3 linked regions of the Drosophila melanogaster genome follow. The protein of the gene in region 3 purifies or fractionates together with the protein of the main gene of each other region. This does not show direct contact. Each region holds a gene or a part of one and is shown on either strand. Other genes may lie near its edges. The genes, in order: CG42383, Syx5 and Sec22.

Region 1 (5,664 bases), on a different chromosome or scaffold from region 3:
CGAAAAATAGTCGCAAAATCGCAAACGGTCAATAAACGTGAGCCGTATCCCCGTATTCCAATTCGCTCAATTACGAACCGATTTCAACTCAATTCCGAGTTTCGGTAACGAAACGTTCAAACAAACGAATCGAATCGAAACGAATCGAATCAACATATCAAACTAATTGCAATCGAATTTAAATAACGTTCAATTAAAAGCATGGTTCGCAAAGTCAAACCCATAATCACGCCATATTTGCCTGTGTTAAGTGTGTGAAAGTGTTTAGCGAGGAGGGAAAGAGAGAAAGGGCTCCGATTCAACATCAATCAATTAATTGGGATCCCGAACGAGGTGCGTAAGTTCGTTTGCCGTGCAATTCGTTAATTAATCGAATGCGGTGCATTAGCACAAACTGGGGCGTTAAGTCTGACTCATTATGTTTAATCCGAACTAACTGCTGACTTTGTTGATGTGGGTCTTAAATGTTGGCAATGTTATACACGAGGTAACACACAAAACTCCATTCTGGTAGGTATTTTGGTATTTCAACAATAATTTGGGCGCCAGTAAGTATGCAACACTCAATTGCTTACTGCATCTTTGAAAGTTGCGCCTAAAAGAATGCACTCAACTTTGGAATTCGATGAAATTTGCTTTGTACTAGCTAAGTACCACTTCACCCATGAGCTGCCGCACAACCATTATCGAACTTCTTTTATTATCCACCGTACCGTTAGTAACGTGAATAACTCCACTCTAAGCCGTTCTGAAAGCCTTTTACTCGGCGTGACCCAATGCATTGAACTCTGCCACCTCGATCCATAATACTCCTCCTGTTATCATTGAACGGCTTTCACTAATATCTTTCTAACAAGGAGAGAAATGGCTACAATAATAGGGAGATAATAGCCGACAACAAGTCCGCACATTGCGTATCGAGTTGCCTTCGAAGAGCTTGGCCAGCCCATTCGAGCGCCTTGACTCGTGTCCACTTGGCTAACATAATCGCACATGCGGTCACATACAGAGCATACAGATGGAGATGGCACATACATACGAACATACGCACATACACACACACGTATGCGAACGGGGTGGGGACGCAATGCATCGGCGTATCGAGTTTTAATGACCCACTTTCTAGCTCAAGACTGTTTAGGTTCGGCCAGCCATCTGTATTGGTTTGGTCTAATTCGGAAAGTCCCCTGGCAGAGCAATTAGTATGGCCATTGGCCAGCATGAATGGGCGATAAAGGCGGCAAACGGCGAACGTGGTATTGTCAAGGAAAACAAATGAGTTGGGCTTGCAACGGCCACTTGAGGGGCTTCTGCCGGGGTGTCCGTACTTGTCCAGGCCCGAAAGAGATGTCTGCTCCCAGAACCGAAAAATAGAAAAGAGAAAACAGTGAAAGAGTGATTTTACAGTCTCTGAAAGTCATTACCCATTGATGTGTGCACTGCAGGAGGTGAAAGAGAGACCCTTTGGCTAGCTAGTTTGCTCGATTTTTAGCTCGATTGTGTGTTGACAGCATTGGAAAGGGCAAAGACAGCACAAGATTGCAACAAAGCGAGAACTGAAATGAAAATTAATAGAATTAAGAGGTGAAGAATTCAATTCACGGCGACATTCAGGGACGCCACTTAAATGGAACAGAACCTTGGCGGGAATTCAGTTCCCGCCCACGCTGCGTATGCTTAATAAAGCAAACCAAGCTGCTTTGTAAAGTAATCAATATCAATATTTAAATGATATTTTATTGTACTTTTGTTTATTAGTATGTGACATATATCTTATCCTGATAGTGAAACATTGCAGAATGTGTAACATACGCGGCGTATACGTAATTTGATGAAGATTACATACAGACCGCTCCTAGTGGGGTTAGGTCACTTCGTATTTAATAAACAAAATTTAGGTACCACAGAAACAATTTGTGTGGGAAATATGTGAGAATTCCCCACGAAGCTGCAATATTCATTAATTTGGCGAATGTCACATAATCTTCGTGAGTTACTAGGGGCCCAGCTAGTTACTTGGGTGTTTTTGGAACCCGAAGCGTAGGAACATACATATGAATGCATAATTGGAACATAAAATTCCGGGAATATTTTACAGCATTCTCCGGGGCACCATGTGAGTGTTTGGTTTTTGTTTGGCCCGATACGGCTCAGCTCCATTCTGCCCCTCCGCCTCTCCGCGCTCCCGCGCTCTACCCGACTATTCATGGCCATGCCTGTTCCGCATTAATTCATTCGCAGGGCGGAGAACCAAGCCATCCGGCCGAAGATGGACCAGCGCAATCTAACACTGCCAACGCCAGCCGCAACAACAATTATGTCCTCGTCATCAGCAGCGATGTCGGCGGGCTTCGCATCCCTTGGAGGACCCACCACGTCCGCCCTGACCGGATCCACAATAGCATTAGCCACAACAACAACAACGGCGCCGCCAACAACGACGCCAGCCACATTTTTTACCTACAGCATACCAGGCATGGACATTGCGCCAGGACCATTTATATTCACCTACGTTAGTGAATTTTTATCGCTTATCACGCCCGAGGAATTGCCGCTGGGTAAGTCCCTCCATGTCCGCCCCTCGCAGAGGGCGTGGTCCTGCATCCTTGTGCCCGTGTAGGATCGAATGATATCGGGGAAAGGGTTTCCAGGTGTGTGGGCTGGTATTCAGAACGTCTGCTTGCCAACAATGAAGGCATTAGAGATGTAAATTCAGGAGAGCCTTTGATAGGTGGGCAAGTTATTCAACCCAGATGGAAGACCTCATATAAATTGTGCACAGGGAAAAACTTGTGTCCGCATAAATTATGTCGATTCGTATTCGGATTTTCTTTAAATGTTTTATTAGTGGTGTCCTTATGATAGCTATTACATTCGCCCAAAACTACTTTAATATTTTATTTTAGCAAAGGACCTTTAATAAAATTCTTTCTGATAGTTTTCTATACAAAATATTTTTTCGAAGTGCTACAGGGCTTGGTATTACGTTTAAAACAAGCTTGAATTAAATAGTTTCAATGGCACTAATCCCTTAGTAGTCTTAGCCTCGTCCCTGACCCTTTAGGCATTAAAAATGCATGTTGGGCGAGAGTCTGTGGCTGCCACAAGGACTTTCGGAACGAGCCAAAGCCCCAGTCGGCCTAGCTACAGTGATCCCCCTTCGGACGATATGTGTTTCTAAATTCAATCCGACGAAACAGCCCCAGGGTTGTTCGTCCCTGCCCAGATGACCGATGAGCAGAAGCTGAGCACCTTCATGAAACGGCATGGGGTGCGTGAGGAGGTGGCCCGTCAGTATCTGAGCTCCAACAACTGGTCCCTGGAGGTAGCCAGCAGCACCTACGAATCGGAGGCGGTTTCCAAAAAGCAAGAGCCCGAGAAGTCCTCCGAGCACTCGCAAGCGAATGAGAGCAATCGGGATCTCCATTCCCTGCTGAGTGAGATATCCCGGCGGAAGGAGGGCGACCACGATGGCTACCAGGCATGTGCATCGGACAGCTCCACCGATCATGACACTCCGGCGGGCAAGCGGGTGAACATCAACAGCTCCACGCCGGCTATAACCAACAACGACAGCGACCGCAGTCTGCGGGTCTGGGGTCATGGCAATCGGTTGGGAAGCGCCCATCCCATCAATCCGCCTCCTCGATCCGCGACCGAGGATTCGGATACGGAGCCGGCCGACGACGAGCACACCATAGTCGTCCTTCACCTCTGGTCTGAGGGATTCTCCCTGGACGACGGCTCGTTGAGATTATATGCACTGCCCGAAAACGAGCGATTTCTCCGCGCTATTTTGAGGGGGGATTTCCCCGAGGAAATGCTCCGGGTGCCCAGAGTCCAGCTGAGCGTGCAGGATCACACTAACGAATCCTATCGTCACTTGTCCCGGAAACAGTTCATGGGACCAGGTCGACCGCTGAACAGCCCCTCGCCCCAGATACTCGTCGTAGGCCCAATGCCCGTTGAAGCCCAAGGCCTTCAGCTCAACGAACGGGCCGACACGACCACCGTGCAGTTGAGGATGGCGGATGGGAGTCGTGTGGCAGGACGCTTCAATCTCACCCACAATGTCGGGGATCTCTATCAGTATGCACGCCTTGCCAGACCCGAGTTCTCTGACCGGAGCTTTGTCCTGATGACCGCCTTTCCGCGACAGGAACTCGTCGAATCGGACACCCGTACTTTGGTGCAGGCGAATCTCTGCAACGTGGTGGTCATCCAACATTTGAACGAGGAGCAGGTGGAGCCGTTGTCCAGCGATGCTTCAGAACCCATCGTGCAATAAAAGGCAGTTGTATACATGTTTAAATATCTATTTTTACGACGTTTTATATGGGACAATGGGCTAAGTTGTGCTAGTTCTATGGATGATACTCATATACTAATAGTTAATCCTCAGGCAGATAATGATATTAGGGTATTACTATGAATAATGTTTATGACATTACAGATTCCATACGCGATGTTCTACACAAAAATACCAGTCTGCTGGACTTTGCCTCCAATGTGAGTGGTTGTACAGCGGAGTCTTGGTCATATCGTAAGAGTTCTGTTTCCCATTTTAGGCCATTAAAATCGAGTCAGGCTTCATTGCTCTGATGAGCGTGTTCGCCATCCTGGCCCTGGTTCCCCTGATTGCCACGTGTGCCTGGTGCTGCGGTCGTCGCTCCACCCAGGAGGAGGTCGACCACATACGGAATGCACCCTGTCACATCCGGGACGAGTCGCTGGAGGAGAGCTTACGATGTCGCAAGAGCGCCGGACTGGTCACCCTGTGGGTCGTCTTCATCCTGCTGACGTGCGTTCAAACTTAGAGCTTAACTTTTGAGGGCAATGGAGAGTAAATGCCGGGGAAACCCATTTTGCAGGCTGAGCGACTTCAGCATTTTTTACGCCAACAGTCGCTTGTCCGCCGGAATCGAGATGACGCCCGAGATGGTCAAGTCAGCCGTGCACGACGTGGAGGTCTTCCTGAAGGACACGCATCTACAAATCAAGCAAAAACTGGATAATGGCTTCCACGTTTCCGTGGAGCGGGTCGTCAAAGACCTGGAAGGTCAGTAGTCATTCCAGACAGTCGGTCGGCAAAGTTGGCCAACTTTGTGTCGCCGACCACTTGAGTTCGAACTCCCGCCCATTTTATAGCCTTCGATCCATGCATTATGCTGCAACTTTTCCCGCAGTGCGATGTAGATGTAGATGTCTGAATTTATTGTGTGCATCTCTCTCCCGCAGACGTGGATGTTCTCCTTGGCGAGCCGATTCAAGCGGAAATATCCGCACACACTGGCCTTGAGCTGGCGTATGATTCACTGACGACACTTAGCCTGGGTGAGTACGGATGGTTAAGTGCTCCCATGCGATGCCCTGCAAAGCGATGGCCATGCGATTGTCTGCTCACGGACTTGACCCAAATTCCGCCGTTGGTCATGCACCATCAGTAGGCCTACGCACCACCAACCACCCCCATATTGGCCAAACATGACAATAAAGCAGCCACAATAAATTACGGCCCCATAAGGGTGCGACCTTTGAGTGGGGCTCAAATAATCCACTATTCCCCTCTGAATTTATTGTGGTTTCTATATTTAAAGTGCATTCTAAGTTAAGTTAATGCTAATATGCGGACAACTTCGGATTTCACTTAATCACAAGGACTTG
Region 2 (6,469 bases), on a different chromosome or scaffold from region 3:
GGACCCGGACTTTATGATCCCACCACGGTCCTGAAAACCGATACTTTGTACCGGAACATGCGTGAGGGTTGGATTAAACTGGCCGTCTATCTGATTAGCTTCTTCTACTACATATACGGGTAAGTCTAATTGAGATTCATTGTGGCCAGGGTCCTCATTTGTCTAACGTTTCTAATTGCTAATTTTAGCATGGTTTATTCGCTCATCTCGACATAGGCAAGCTCTTGCCTGGGGATCTCAGTGTTGGCGCCAACGCATCAGCGTCGTGTATTAGTTGTCTAAACTCGGGTAGAGGACTTCCTTTTTTGGGGAAGAGTCCCCATCAACCGCGAACAATACTTCACTTGTAAATTCTAGTGTAAATCCATAAAGACATCTTGAAGCTTTGTTTTTTTCATACAATTTGTAATACTTTTCTGCAGTAAGAGATTGTAACATGTTTTTATTTTGATTATTTTTTGCATATCGCATCTTTGGTGTAGTTGGATTTTAAGCATTAAATAAAAGTCAAATCAATGTAACCAATTTTCATTTTTCTGTTTAGCATGAGGGACAGCGGAATTTTTGGCTAAACACGACGAACATGGAGCAACGAGCACTTAAGATAATAAAGATTATGAAAGGGCACTTAAACCTTATCAGCAGGGCAAACATAGATATAGTCTCTCTCCAATTTGATACTTGCATTACACGTTTTCTAAGGTAATATACAAGTTTCTTACATCAGCAAACATATTTATCATTCGGCTTTATATTTTGGAAATTATATTTAATTTTAGAGCTTCCATTAGAATGGAAAAATTCACCAAAGAACCACATGCTAAAATAAATGTATTTTGCTTTAGAACGTATTTATAACTTTATTTTACAATCGTTTCGGGAGGCCACAGCTTGGAATAAACAATATTGTGATTGAATCTTGATTAAAATAAAAAGCTGTATACATGGATAGGTACATGGGGCTTTTAATGGGCAACTGGCGTTTGATTACGACATAAAAACAACGAAGAACAAGAAGAAGAATATGAGAACGCCGAAGATTTTGATCATCAGCCAGCGATTTTTGGAGACGGATTGAAAGTATTTCAAGATCTCCCCATGGGCAGCCTCAATATTCAATTCCGCATCCGCCACATTCGTGTCAATACGCTCCACGATCTCTTCCTGCTCCTTAACCATATGTGCCAGCTGCTGGAATATTCCGCCGAGCTCAACGATGGTAGATTCTATATTTTGCATGGTCTCCGCCCGCTGCTGGACGTAATTATCGGAATCATCGTAGATGGCCATCTGTGTCTGGGTTGATAGGAGTGGTGTGGTATCGCTGCTCCCCATATCTATGCTGACCGCTTGGTTTTCCTCGCTGAGAAGCAAAGATCCCTGCTTGGCTGTCGAGGGGGAGACGGTGTGCGCGGCCAACGGACCTGGTCCCTGGCTAAACTGATCACGTCGCGTCTTCTGCTGCTTGAGGTTCTCCGTGCGCACCTCCAGGATTTGCTTGAAGTCCGTGCTCATGCTGGCCAGTTTCGATTGCAGGGCCAGTACCATGTTAGAGGAATGTGACACCAAATGCTTGCCGTTTGTGTGACGCCGCTGATCCTTGGAGATGTCCTGCAGTCGGGCAATTTGTTGATTTAAGGCATTTAGGTCGCCTTTGATGATATAGGTCAGCTCCTGAATCTCCTGCGGTCTGTCATCAAATAAGCTCTTCTTTTTGGCCACTAAAACGAAGATGGGAATTTTAAAGTTTTGAATATGACTTTAAGGGGTTACTAAAACATGTACTTACACATTGTGAGCTTCTCCAGTTTTGCGTAGGTGCTGGCTATGTTCTTGCCAATAAACCTGGCGACCATCATGAACTCCGAGTAGCTCTGAACCTGCTTAGCTTTGCGGGGATCGCGTATATTCACTGCCCGGGTGATATTTCGAGCCTGCAGGGAACGAATCGCATTGGCGAACTCGCCCGTTCGATCGCGTGCGGCCATGACGAATATTTCTGGTTCGGGTTCCGTTTCCTGCGGCTCCTCCTTCGATTGGTAAAACTGTGAACTAGTCGGAATGGAAGCGGGGTAGCTATAGTTGCTTTGGCTATCGTTATTGATGCCCGGTTGATTGCCGGTGACCACGGCGGCAGCGGCACTTAAAGTGCGCAGTGCGTGGCCCGAGAAGGCGCGTAGGTTCCACTGGCGGGCCGCCTTGCCGTACTTGTCGTCGGAGTAATCGGGAGTGGAAATGGAATCGCCCGACTGGTAGTTGTCTCCAATGTGGATGGCCGCCTCGTGACCAGTTGGTGGTGGAACCAGGGACTGTGCTAATAGTCCTACCGATCCGCCAGCTGTTCCCGTGCCCACAGATCCTGCGCCTGCTCCTCCCTGTTGATCCTCTTGAATGGTATAGGTACTGCTACTGCTGTAATCCTGCTGGTCTGTTTGATGAAGGCGTCTTCGGGTTTGCATCTCATTTCAGATTGCAGCTTTTACCAGGGAGTTGACGTTGCTGTTTTTCATATGCACACGAACGAAATGATCTGTTGGACTTTTCTTTGCGAAAATTTCCCCTTTGTTTTTCTCCTTTAATGCACTGGTTTACCGTTTGATGTTTGGCTCGTCACTTAGCTGGCAGGTTTGTGTGTCCTAAACAAAGTAAAATTTGGTCTCCGTTCAAGTATTTCCCAATGGTTTTGTCAAAAAATTCATAATAATTGCTAAAGGTTGCAGAAAACTCACTCAAACGCACACACACACACTCTTCTCACACACACGAACACACCTCCAGATGATAGATTACGATGACGTGTTGATATTTAAGCAACTATCGATAGGCACGAAACAGATTAAAACAGTTGCTACTTCTTTTCGTTCGGAAAGACACACGTTTTCCAATATTTCAAAATATTTATTTATAATAGTTATTATTAAAATATTTATTGTAAAATATTGTCTGCAAAACTAGCTTGTTTTTTATAGTCTGCCTGACATGCCGTCAGCCCTGTTAAGCACATATCGATAACCCACGGCAAGCAACGCTAGTTTTTTTCTTTTCAACTTTTAATTCTTCTCTTAATTAAGCCAAAATAAAATAGCCATAATTTATCAAAGAAAATGACACTGTATCACTTTGGAAATTGTGTGGCCCTGCTGACGCCGTACTACTTCACCTATAAATACTCCGGCCTGTGAGTTTACTTCTGGTTACTGGTGATTTGCCGACTGCCAAGTCCGCAGCTCTACCAGGTCAATAAAAAACTATTTGTGAACTTTCCCGGCTTATTATTTAATCACAGATCAGAATATGGAGCCTTCTGGAAGTGCGTGCAGGCGGGAGGCATTTATATATTCACACAGCTCGTCAAGATGCTGGTGCTGGCCACATTCTTCTACTCGGACGCTCCATCCTCCAGCGGCGAGTTCAACTTCTTTGCGGTACGTGTGCTTATCTTTGTTTACCTTCACCCAATTATTGAGGTCATGTTGTGGTTTCTTTGGTCTGCAGGAGATTCTTCGCTGCAGCATGGACATCGCCGATCTGCTTGGATTCGCCCTAATCTTGAGTCGCATACCCGGCAAGGGCCACTCAAAGCTCATAACGGCTGGACTTGGATGTAGGTTGAACGAACCAACTTATTTAAACTTAATTAATGATGAGGGTGGCTTTTAAAGATTGAAAAGTACTCTGTTCAGATATATTAATGTTACAAGAGCCAATGCCTACTCAACCTTTAATACCCCAACCCATATATGTATGACAACTTCCAAAAATTTAGTAAAAACTAAATATTTTCGTATACTTCCGCAGGGGCCACCGCCGAAGTGATTCTTTCCCGAGGTATCATGCTGTGGGTGGGTGCCCGAGGCACCGAGTTCAGTTGGATCTACATCCTCAAGTGTCTGGAATCGAACGTGCTTCTGGTGCAGCACATCACTACGGCCACCCTGATCTGGCTCTTCACCCGTCACGATTTGAACAAGGCATTAAAGCCGCTGGTTAGTCTACTTCTGGCGGTGACTGTCTTCAAAGGCGTCTGGCTGGAGGGCATGCTCCACATTCTGACCATTGGACCTTGGCTAACGGTGGCTGTTAAAGCGCTGGTGGCGGCCGTCATTGGATTCTGCACGCTGCACATCTATTCGGGTCTGGCCCAGCAGATCGGAATTTAAGCAATTGTGCCAAACACTCTGTATTCCTTTGTTTTTGTAACTTGTTTATTTTTTGGTGTTGTCAGAGAAATTGAGATTTTGTAACAAAGACAACAATTACGGTTTAGAGAATTACTCCAAATGTTAATGAATTATAGCTACGATAACGTAATAGTAACAAAGATAACAAACAACTTTTAATGGGTACACGAAACTAATATGATAATGAAAAAAAAACTATTTTTATAGACAGCAACAAGTAACATCTATAGAATTTTTCAATTCTTGAAATGAAACGAATTATCCAGGACATCGTTGCTCAATTGTACCATAAGATTGTATGGAAAAAGAGTAGATTAAAGCCATCTAGGTTAGAGATTGGCTCAACTTATATGTTATAACACAATAGCAATAACAGAAAACAAAACAACAACAAAAATGTGGAAGATTGTCAACTACAAAGTTGTTTGGTAATCTTGAAAAAAATTATCTAAAAATATTCACAGAGTCTCACTCAGCATAAGATTGTCTATTAGCTTAGCGGACTCTTTGCCAAGAGTAATTTGGTACATTTCCAGCGAATTAGCTCGCTTTGATATCTCTATAAAATGGTCTCGAACAAGATCTGAAATTTAAGCTATACGTTATTTCCAACACACATTTTGTTCTTTTTCGAACTCACACAACAAATGGAGAAAGGCTAACGAAGCCTTGATGCGACTATCAAACGTTTTTATAAAATCAATGGCATCGATTCCCGTGATTTTCGGATTATTACGCCAAATGCTTAAGAGACTCATCATTACGCTGTAGGTATCTGCAATGAGATTATATTTTATTTACGATAGCATGTTGTAAACATTGGCTGAACTCACCATCATGATTATCCTCACGGTATATGCCGTGCTCATTCATTTCATTATGATAATTCTGATTTACATCATCACGTGGCTGAAGTTGAGGTTGCACACAGTCTTCCACTTCAAGCGGTTCGGGCTGATAGATATGTGCCGCTTTATCCCTACATTTTGTAGCCTGCGATGGTCGCACAAATATCTCTTTAGAAAGATTCTCGGTAAACTCGCAGCCAAATATGGTTCTCAATGTGTTTTCTGCCTCGAATTCCTTTTCTTCATTACTGAGCTTAGGTCCGGAGTGGTTATGAAGAGCTAAAAAACTTACACTACATCAAAAAATTAAAAAGTTTTAAATAGCAAAATGTATAAGGCTCCTACTTATTATACAGTTTACAGAGAAGTTCCTTAGGGGGTTTCCGTAAATCCGAGGATTTTGGCACTATCACATTCCTTGAAAGGTATTCTTCCATATATTTCTGTCTATGCTTCACCAGCTGCTCCCGGGTGTATTCAATTCGTTTGTCTACTATTAGCTTTCTTTTCCGATTTTTCGGGTGGCTAAATGTTATTTCTCCAAAAGAATTTAAAACGGATGGCAACGACGGTTCACAAACTATCTGAGTTACTTCAGCTGGTTCAATGTTATGCGGAAAGATTTGGGTCATGATAGCATTGTCAGCTTGGAAAACATCGCAATCATCCAATCTGGGCATTTTATCCGGTAAGATGTCAGTTGGATCCTGAGCTATTGAGTGTCGCTTTACTATAATACAAAAAAATAGTTTATTACATTTTCAATTGAATTGAGAATTCTTACGTGAGTTCCGTGTGCCATCTTTGGGGTAAAGCTCTTGAAAAATGGTTAAGTCCGCGCCCTCGGCTTCGCCAAAACCATTTGATGGCATAATTAAGCTATGATCTTCGGGAAGTTCAATCTCTTCGGTGATTGTAATGGAATGATACGACTTTGACTGAGTGCAACTCCGGGGTTGTTCAATAGACTTTTTGCGAAAAATGAAATCATATAAGGAAGCAGTCCAACAGTATATTGACGACTAACCTCGTTCAGGTCCTCCACCACCTGTTGTGTGCACTCCGTTTGCCACATCTGGCATTCGGATAGCATCTTCTCGTAGTATTCATGTGAGAATTCATCCAATAGATCCGATTCCTGCAGTCTGGGACGTTTTGATACTGTTACTTTAGATTTCTTGGTGATCACCCGCTTTCCTTTGCGTTGGATTCGAATCTCTGATTTGTTGACCACTACGGATTTTGTTGTGGTGAGAACGTAATCCAAGTTGGTACGTGTACATTGGTCAAGTAATACCTTCGTGTCCCCTGTAAGAATTCGTGATTATATATCAATGTTACGTAATATTCGGACTAATACTTACCCAAAAGTAGATCCACTTGGCATCTAAAAATATCCGCAACTCCAAAAACCAAGCGGGAAATGTCCTTGAAAATAAC
Region 3 (6,680 bases):
CCCTGACGAGGAATGGGTCGCATCGCTCGCTAAGAACCTCCCAGCGGCCAAACTTGGGTGGTGGCTCAGCGGTGGCCACCGGGTTCTCTACAAATGCCACCACAACGGCCCACAATACGCTCAATTCGCATGCGACACACACGCTTAACTCCAACCATTCGCACACGCTGAGCAGCTCCCATCACGCCGGCGGGGGAAGTCAACCGGGCACTCTGAGCTCGGGTCATCATCAGCACCACCATATCCAGCAGCACCACCAGCCTGATATCCTGAAGAGCACACCGGATCACCAGAGGATTAAATAGAGAAGAGTGGGATTGGAGGATCTCAAGAAGAACGATGGTTCCCTGCACGTTGAGGATTACGGAAAAGATAATCAAAAAGAGGAAATTAGAGAGTAGCGAAGAAGGATTAAAGTAGAGCTAAAGGATCACACATTGTACATAAAGGTGGAAAATCACAGCTAAACAGACATATACAACTAACAGATACATATGCACCGGCCTAGTGGCTACAAATATGAAACTAAAGATAGAATGATAGAAAGATATAAAGATAGACGGATGGATAGCGATAGCGGTAAAAATACGACTTAGCCTAATAGGCCTGGGATGGACCTTCTTCTCCTTGCGCACCACTCACTAAAGTTATTTTCTAAGCTAACGACGGTACCCGTACTCTAAACCTACTTTGTAAACCGCAGCAGCAGGCATATATATATAAATATATACTATATATTATTTTTTTTTGATAGTCATAAGCCCAGCGTACCCGAAAGTGCATGAGGGTATGCGTAGAAACGAAAACAGAACAAGAATCTCAAAGTTCAGATTGTTCCTGACTTATTTATTTATTTTTGATTTTTCATAGTTCAAACCAACATACAAGTAAAGGCAATGCAAAACACACCTATAAAAATGATATGTTTGAGTGTTATTGCTCTTCGATGCTTTTTAATGAATCTCAATTTGTAATTGTCCCTCCACGCGCAAAACTGCCTTCTGAATTTGTATAGATGTCGGAGCCAAGAACGAGAAAAATATAGTTATACAAAACGAAGCCAAAAAAAACAAAACAAGCGAACTATAGTAGCATTAGCAGAATCCAATTGAGAAAAGCAAATATTTTTTAAAGAATTTTGAGCCTAGTGCGGGCTATCAACCAAGCATACCCATCTATTGTATATCTAAATAGTTCCAGTTACGCCCCGACCCGCCCCGCCACGCCCGACTCGTATGGTTTTCGCATAAACTAAAACTTCGATTTTATAGACCGCGTAATTTATTTTCGATCCCACTCACCACCAGAGCTTCAGCAGAACCACAGCCTAGTACACGGAAGCCAGAGGAGGTTGCAAAATTCGGTAGATGATTGCTCTTCTCCCCAGTTAATTAATTATTGCAGACCATTTCACACATCCCCCCCCACAAAGCATATGCATTCATATGTAGTTATGTAGAGAGCGTATATATGTATTCGGATTCGATATTTCACAAAACTATACACACCAAATTACGATATAGCAGTGTATATGGCAACAGCGCATTTTTTTCCTAATTGTAAAGATTTGATATTACAAATTTATATGCGCTGAGACGCAACGAAAACGGACATTTAGCGGGACGATATGAGACCGAATGGGATCGGGATCGGATCAGATCGAGAAATTCATTGAGAAGAATCGTAATTCGAAGGCTTGCAAGTGGATATAAACTATAAAGGCGAATGTATCACATCACACTCAGTGAATCGAAAAATATATAAAGGGAAATTATCGATTAAAACTAAACCAAAAATCAGATGCAGTTTCTATCTTTCGGGCTTGGGTAGTGCATCGAACACAGTTTTGCCTTCTCTTTATTAAACAATATAAATTTATTTATTTGCCTTAATTTTACACATATAAATTGCCTAAAACTGTTATTGTTTATTTCCCTTTCTCTTCTTTTCTTTTCTTTCGGTTCGCTTGTTATCTTTTCTTTTTCTTTTGTTTTTTGCGGTGTTTTTGCAGCTTGTATCAAGCACTCCGCCGGATTCGGATTCGCTATGCAGCGATCCATCTACAATCTAGACATTTATACACACACACACGGATCGACGCTCATAATTTACAGATTTGGGTCGTAGTCAACCGACTTGGCTCAAAGGTCGTCTAAACTAAACCCGATTCGTAATCAAATATTTAGAAAACCTGCGCAACGGAAGCGCGAGGCGAAATGAAATGGGAGTTAATAATTAATGGAATCCCAGACCGTAAATAACGCAAAGGTAAGTTAATATTAGAAGTAAAACAATCCTCGGGAGCGATGCGTATGCTGGTAGGGGGTTTCGCTATTCACTTTTCGCTTGCCTATGATTCATAGATATGAATGAATATGGTGTGGTTGGTGGCGTGGAGTACAGGTGCACGCGTAATCTAAATGTCTTTTGGTCTTGCGTCCTTGACGCTTGACTCCAACAAAGAACGCGCCGCTCCGAGTGGCCATGGAACTGCTTGATATTACAGAACCCAGAAATACATGATGAACACTAGAAGTATCATGCCCAAGGCCATCGCCTTCACGTACATGGACTTTCGGTTGAGCAGCTTGGCGTCCTTCTTGTACTTCTGTGACATCATCGATAGGTTCTGGGTCTTGGTGTCGAGTTCTGGAAGGAAAAACGGGGTGAACGTCAGTTGAATCCCACAATCACGCGTAGATAGTCGCGTAGATAGTAGTAGTAGTAGTTACCCGCCAGCACTGTGCCACGTTGGAGCACGTCGTCAATGTTTTGCACCATGATGCGCTGCACATCCTGCAGCTGTGTGTTGATGTTGCTGATGTTGCGTCTGCGGTCCGTCAACTGTTTTTTCGCCTTCTGTATGTACACGTCAAACTCGATGAATGCGTATGGGCGAGTCACTGAGTTTACTCGCCGGCCGTAGTTAGCATGGAACTCCTGGGCCAGGTCCTCCAGGTAATTGAAGGCCAGTCGCTTTGAGTACATCTTGTCCACCATCACCAGGTAGCAGACGTCGTTCTCGATTAGGTAGCTGCAGGGAAAATGTGGAATATTTTAATTGGGGCGCCCATTGCATCTTCTGGCTTTCGCAAGCAGTGAGCGTTTAATTTAACTTCGTATCAAATTACATCTATACTCTTTGTTCCGAAACTAAATCAACTGTCACTGACTACCCGCGGAGCCGAGAAACCTTTGTACATGGTGTGATTTTAATGGTCTATGCCCTGGCAAAGGTGCCACGAATTGGGGCTACTCACTGGAATAGGTAGGGTCCGGTCTCGATACTGCATCGAGCCGGGGAGTGGGTACCCAGCTTGCGGAAGAGCATCTTAGCCTGGTTTTGGTAGTCCAGTATGCTGCGTCCGCTCTGAAAGTGAAAGCGACTTAGTTGCGGGAGCGGAACGGAATGCAACGTATTAGAAAGTGATGCACACGGGTACCTGCTCGTCATCCTGCATGGTCCCCACCAGAGGAAGGCCATCGATGACCCTGGCTATCATGGTCAGCAGCGCCATGGCTTCTGCTGTTCCTGGTTACGATTGCTCGCGGAACTACGGGGCTGCGTCTCAAGTCTTCTTGGCCACGGCTGCACTCTGCCGTCGCCTCCTTCCACTGGCTGCTACTTATTCCGATGTGGATCCGCTGCAGTCCAGTCACCAGTGTGTGAAGTTTGTGTCCGGTCGTCCTCTTCCACTTCTTGGATTTCACAACTCAGCCGATCGGTCGGTGCTTGCCGCAGTGCTCCTGCGATGCCCGGGACTTCCAAATGGACTCTGCCTCGAATCGGGAACGTTCGCTGCTACCATGAAAACTGTGTTGCAACGTCGCGGCGGGCGGGTGTCTGGGATTGGAGTGGATTGGAGGTTTCTGTGGATGTTTGTTGCAATGTAACCACGTCACCGGTATGTCCGTGTAAATATACCGAATGGTGCGAGGCATACCGAATACCGCAGAGTATCTCAGAGTACCGACCGCCAACGGTCACATTAACGGAAGTCCATTATACCATTCGTTTCTTCGTTTCTTTAAATGCACGATATGGAAATACGCTTTCAACTCGTTTTCAAGCCAGCATGCCCCTGAAAATGGCGCTTTCGAGTTTCCGGGCTTTCCCGCAAAGCTATTTTCCCAGGTCTACAGCTTTGACAGCTTGCGCTCTGCTGTAATGTGGAGTTTGCTTTTTGTATGCGTGTGTTGTACACAGGATGCGGATTAAGGATCCCCAGAAGTTCAATAGAAGTACAATACTTCGATTCACCCATGAACCTGGCGCCCAGATGCATTGTTCTATAGCTGTTTTGAGTCCCAATCCGACCAATTGGTCTTTGGTATTTTTATTTTTTATATTGGCAATCGAGTTGCGAATATATTATTTCAAATATTTAAATATAAATAAATATTTATTTAAATTATTAACCAACATAAATCGAAATCCCTGGCACGTCGCGCCGCTTTCGCAGACTCAAATCCGCTGGCGCAGATGCCGGAAGTGGGTTGGACCCCCCAAAAGTCGATGACCAAGCCCAACCGGTTCGCCCGCGAAGACCATCCTCTGCATGGACATCCACATCCATCCCCAGAAGGAAAAGTGGTTCGCCCGCGAAACCGGACTTGGACTTGAGGCAGGGACCCAACTATATGGACTACCTGTGGTACTTGGCGATGGAGCTGCGTGCGAATGTGCGTTTCAAGCGACCACCGGAAAAATCTTTGCACTGGGAAAATAATTCATATCGAATGCGACTTATTCATCTATGTATATTATGAATTGAAGCCCTGCAAGCGAATGCGAATAACCATTCCCATTTCTGCTCATACCGAAGAATGCTAAGATATACACAAGTTTGTGATCAAAGCGGGAAAGCTTATGACATTATTTAAAATGCTTGTACTGTGATCTTAAATCGAATGCATTTCAATTAACTCTGAGCCCATCGAGGACTGCGGTCAACCTATTTTCTCATCGTGTGATCGGATCACCCGCAGCGGAATGCGTGCGCTTCCGTTTTGCTCGGCTTGGCCTCCTTCCTCGTTCCGTTGAAAGCAGGTATGTATATATAAGCCACTGCTCCACCTAGAGGCTCCACAATACAAAGTCAGTCATGGCCGGGTCAGTTCGTGCGACGCTCCTGGGTCTCCTCATGCAGATCCTGTGCAATGGGCTGGCTGGTCAGCAGCTGCTCCTCACACGTCCCCAAAGGAGCCTGTTCGAGACTCCGCTGGGTCACGTAGAGCAAGTGGAACAAGTGCCCTCTTTAGGCTGGAATAGTGTTGGTAGTGGACTCGGAGTGGGCGAGTGGCCCTACAGCCCCGTTGGTCTCGGCCACATGAGCAAGGATGAGCTGCTGACCCTGCTGGAGGCCTGGAAGGAGGTCGAGGAGGAATCGGCCACAACAACGACTGCGTCGCCAGCGGATGCCAGCACACGTAGACCTCCTCCGCCTCCACTGCCACCACCACCACCTCCTCCGCCACGACCCACACCCATACCAGTCTCCGTTGCAATCCCGTCACCGGCTGTTCCGCCCTCCGGCACTCCCATTACAGTGCGGCTCCCAGCCTTTGTGCCTGTGCGTCTGGCTGCCGTGTTTACTCCGCTTGCCGGTGGACAAGCTGATAGTGCTGTTCCGTCTGCCAACGGAGTCGGAGGGGCTGGAGGAGATGATTTGTCCACCGATGACGTGACAGATGATGACGGCGTCTCTACCCGGCTCTTTCGCTTTTTGCCCATGCCAGGAGCTCGAACGAGACCGCAATCCAATTCACAGCCCAGGCAGCAATTTGTGGTGAGGAACACCCTGGACAGCGTGGATGCGGGCACTGCCCCTGTCAGGCAGCAGATTAAACCGGAAGTCCAGCCCAAGGCGACTGCTCCGCCTTCCATTCCCAAGTTCCCTGGCCACCCAACTCCCTTCTTCCGTCCCAGGTAAGCAGAAACGAAAGCGCTAGAGGTGGTCATCTGGGCAGCCGGCTCATTTCCCTCCATTTTTGCTCTAGATTTGGTGTGCCACCGAGTCTGGCCAACGCTCGATTCGAGCTGGTGCCCTCTTCCCAAATCATCGGCGACTGGCGGGTGTGAGCCTGTGCATCACTTGACTGACCAAAACGGAGTACCTTCCGGCGAACCAACCAGGATCGAGCTTTTGAAGGAGGCTGTCTTGCTAGGCTGTTTCCACTGTTGCTTATGTATTTTATTTTTTATTGAATAATAATTTTTTTTTTTTTTTTTGTGTCCAAATAGAATATGCAATCAGTCATAGATTAGCGACATACTAACTGCTTTCGAATTGAAGTAGGCACTTTTTCTGCTCCAATGGCCATGTGAAGCCATATATGTACATCTATTTGTATGTCCTCTGAAATCGCTCAGCTTTTAAAACAAAGAGCAGTCTGAAGAGTACATATAAAGATAGCGATCAGCCCGAGTATTTAGCCATAACAATTTATAGTATTTTTCGAATCCTAAGATTGGAATATTCAGTTCAATCGAATATGTATGCAGTTTCCCCTCACACAGTTTTATAAGTTGGCCTGAAGTTTTTGTACAAAAAAATATAAATTTTATATTTAGAAATGAAATGCTCTGCATCTTTTAATGCCCTCTGCGACGTGGGAACGCCGCGTCCGAACTTGCAGCGGTTAATTCCCTATGTCGAGCCGCAACAGGACGACGAGGA

Evidence for each region.
Region 1: the proteins of Sec22 (region 3) and CG42383 purify together in Drosophila melanogaster (affinity purification with western blotting; one study listed by BioGRID). This does not show direct contact.
Region 2: the proteins of Sec22 (region 3) and Syx5 purify together in Drosophila melanogaster (affinity purification with western blotting; 2 studies listed by BioGRID, with this or other methods). This does not show direct contact.

What each region holds. Positions count from the first base shown.
Region 1 is NT_033778.4:24,422,579-24,428,242, reverse strand, and holds CG42383 (uncharacterized protein), read left to right. Parts: upstream 1-3,140; 5' UTR 3,141-3,226; coding exon 3,227-4,288; 3' UTR 4,289-4,317; downstream 4,318-5,664. Other genes in the region: prom (prominin), read left to right, coding at 2,270-2,558, 4,454-4,509, 4,569-4,801, 4,872-5,059, 5,239-5,334.
Region 2 is NT_033779.5:16,303,650-16,310,118, reverse strand, and holds Syx5 (syntaxin 5), read right to left. Parts: upstream 2,774-6,469; 5' UTR 2,460-2,773; coding exon 1,790-2,459; intron 1,722-1,789; coding exon 988-1,721; 3' UTR 845-987; downstream 1-844. Other genes in the region: cni (cornichon), read left to right, coding at 1-119, 189-216; CG5861 (uncharacterized protein), read left to right, coding at 3,105-3,178, 3,287-3,425, 3,496-3,604, 3,799-4,160; c(2)M (crossover suppressor on 2 of manheim), read right to left, coding at 4,640-4,764, 4,822-4,956, 5,015-5,322, 5,375-5,759, 5,814-5,997, 6,057-6,337, 6,394-6,469. UniProt on the Drosophila melanogaster protein: Mediates endoplasmic reticulum to Golgi transport.
Region 3 is NC_004354.4:803,323-810,002, reverse strand, and holds Sec22 (secretory 22), read right to left. Parts: upstream 3,928-6,680; 5' UTR 3,519-3,927; coding exon 3,438-3,518; intron 3,371-3,437; coding exon 3,261-3,370; intron 3,035-3,260; coding exon 2,733-3,034; intron 2,650-2,732; coding exon 2,501-2,649; 3' UTR 1,803-2,500; downstream 1-1,802. Other genes in the region: CG43867 (uncharacterized protein), read left to right, coding at 1-305; CG13358 (uncharacterized protein), read left to right, coding at 5,106-5,929, 6,001-6,082; CG13359 (uncharacterized protein), read left to right, coding at 6,577-6,680.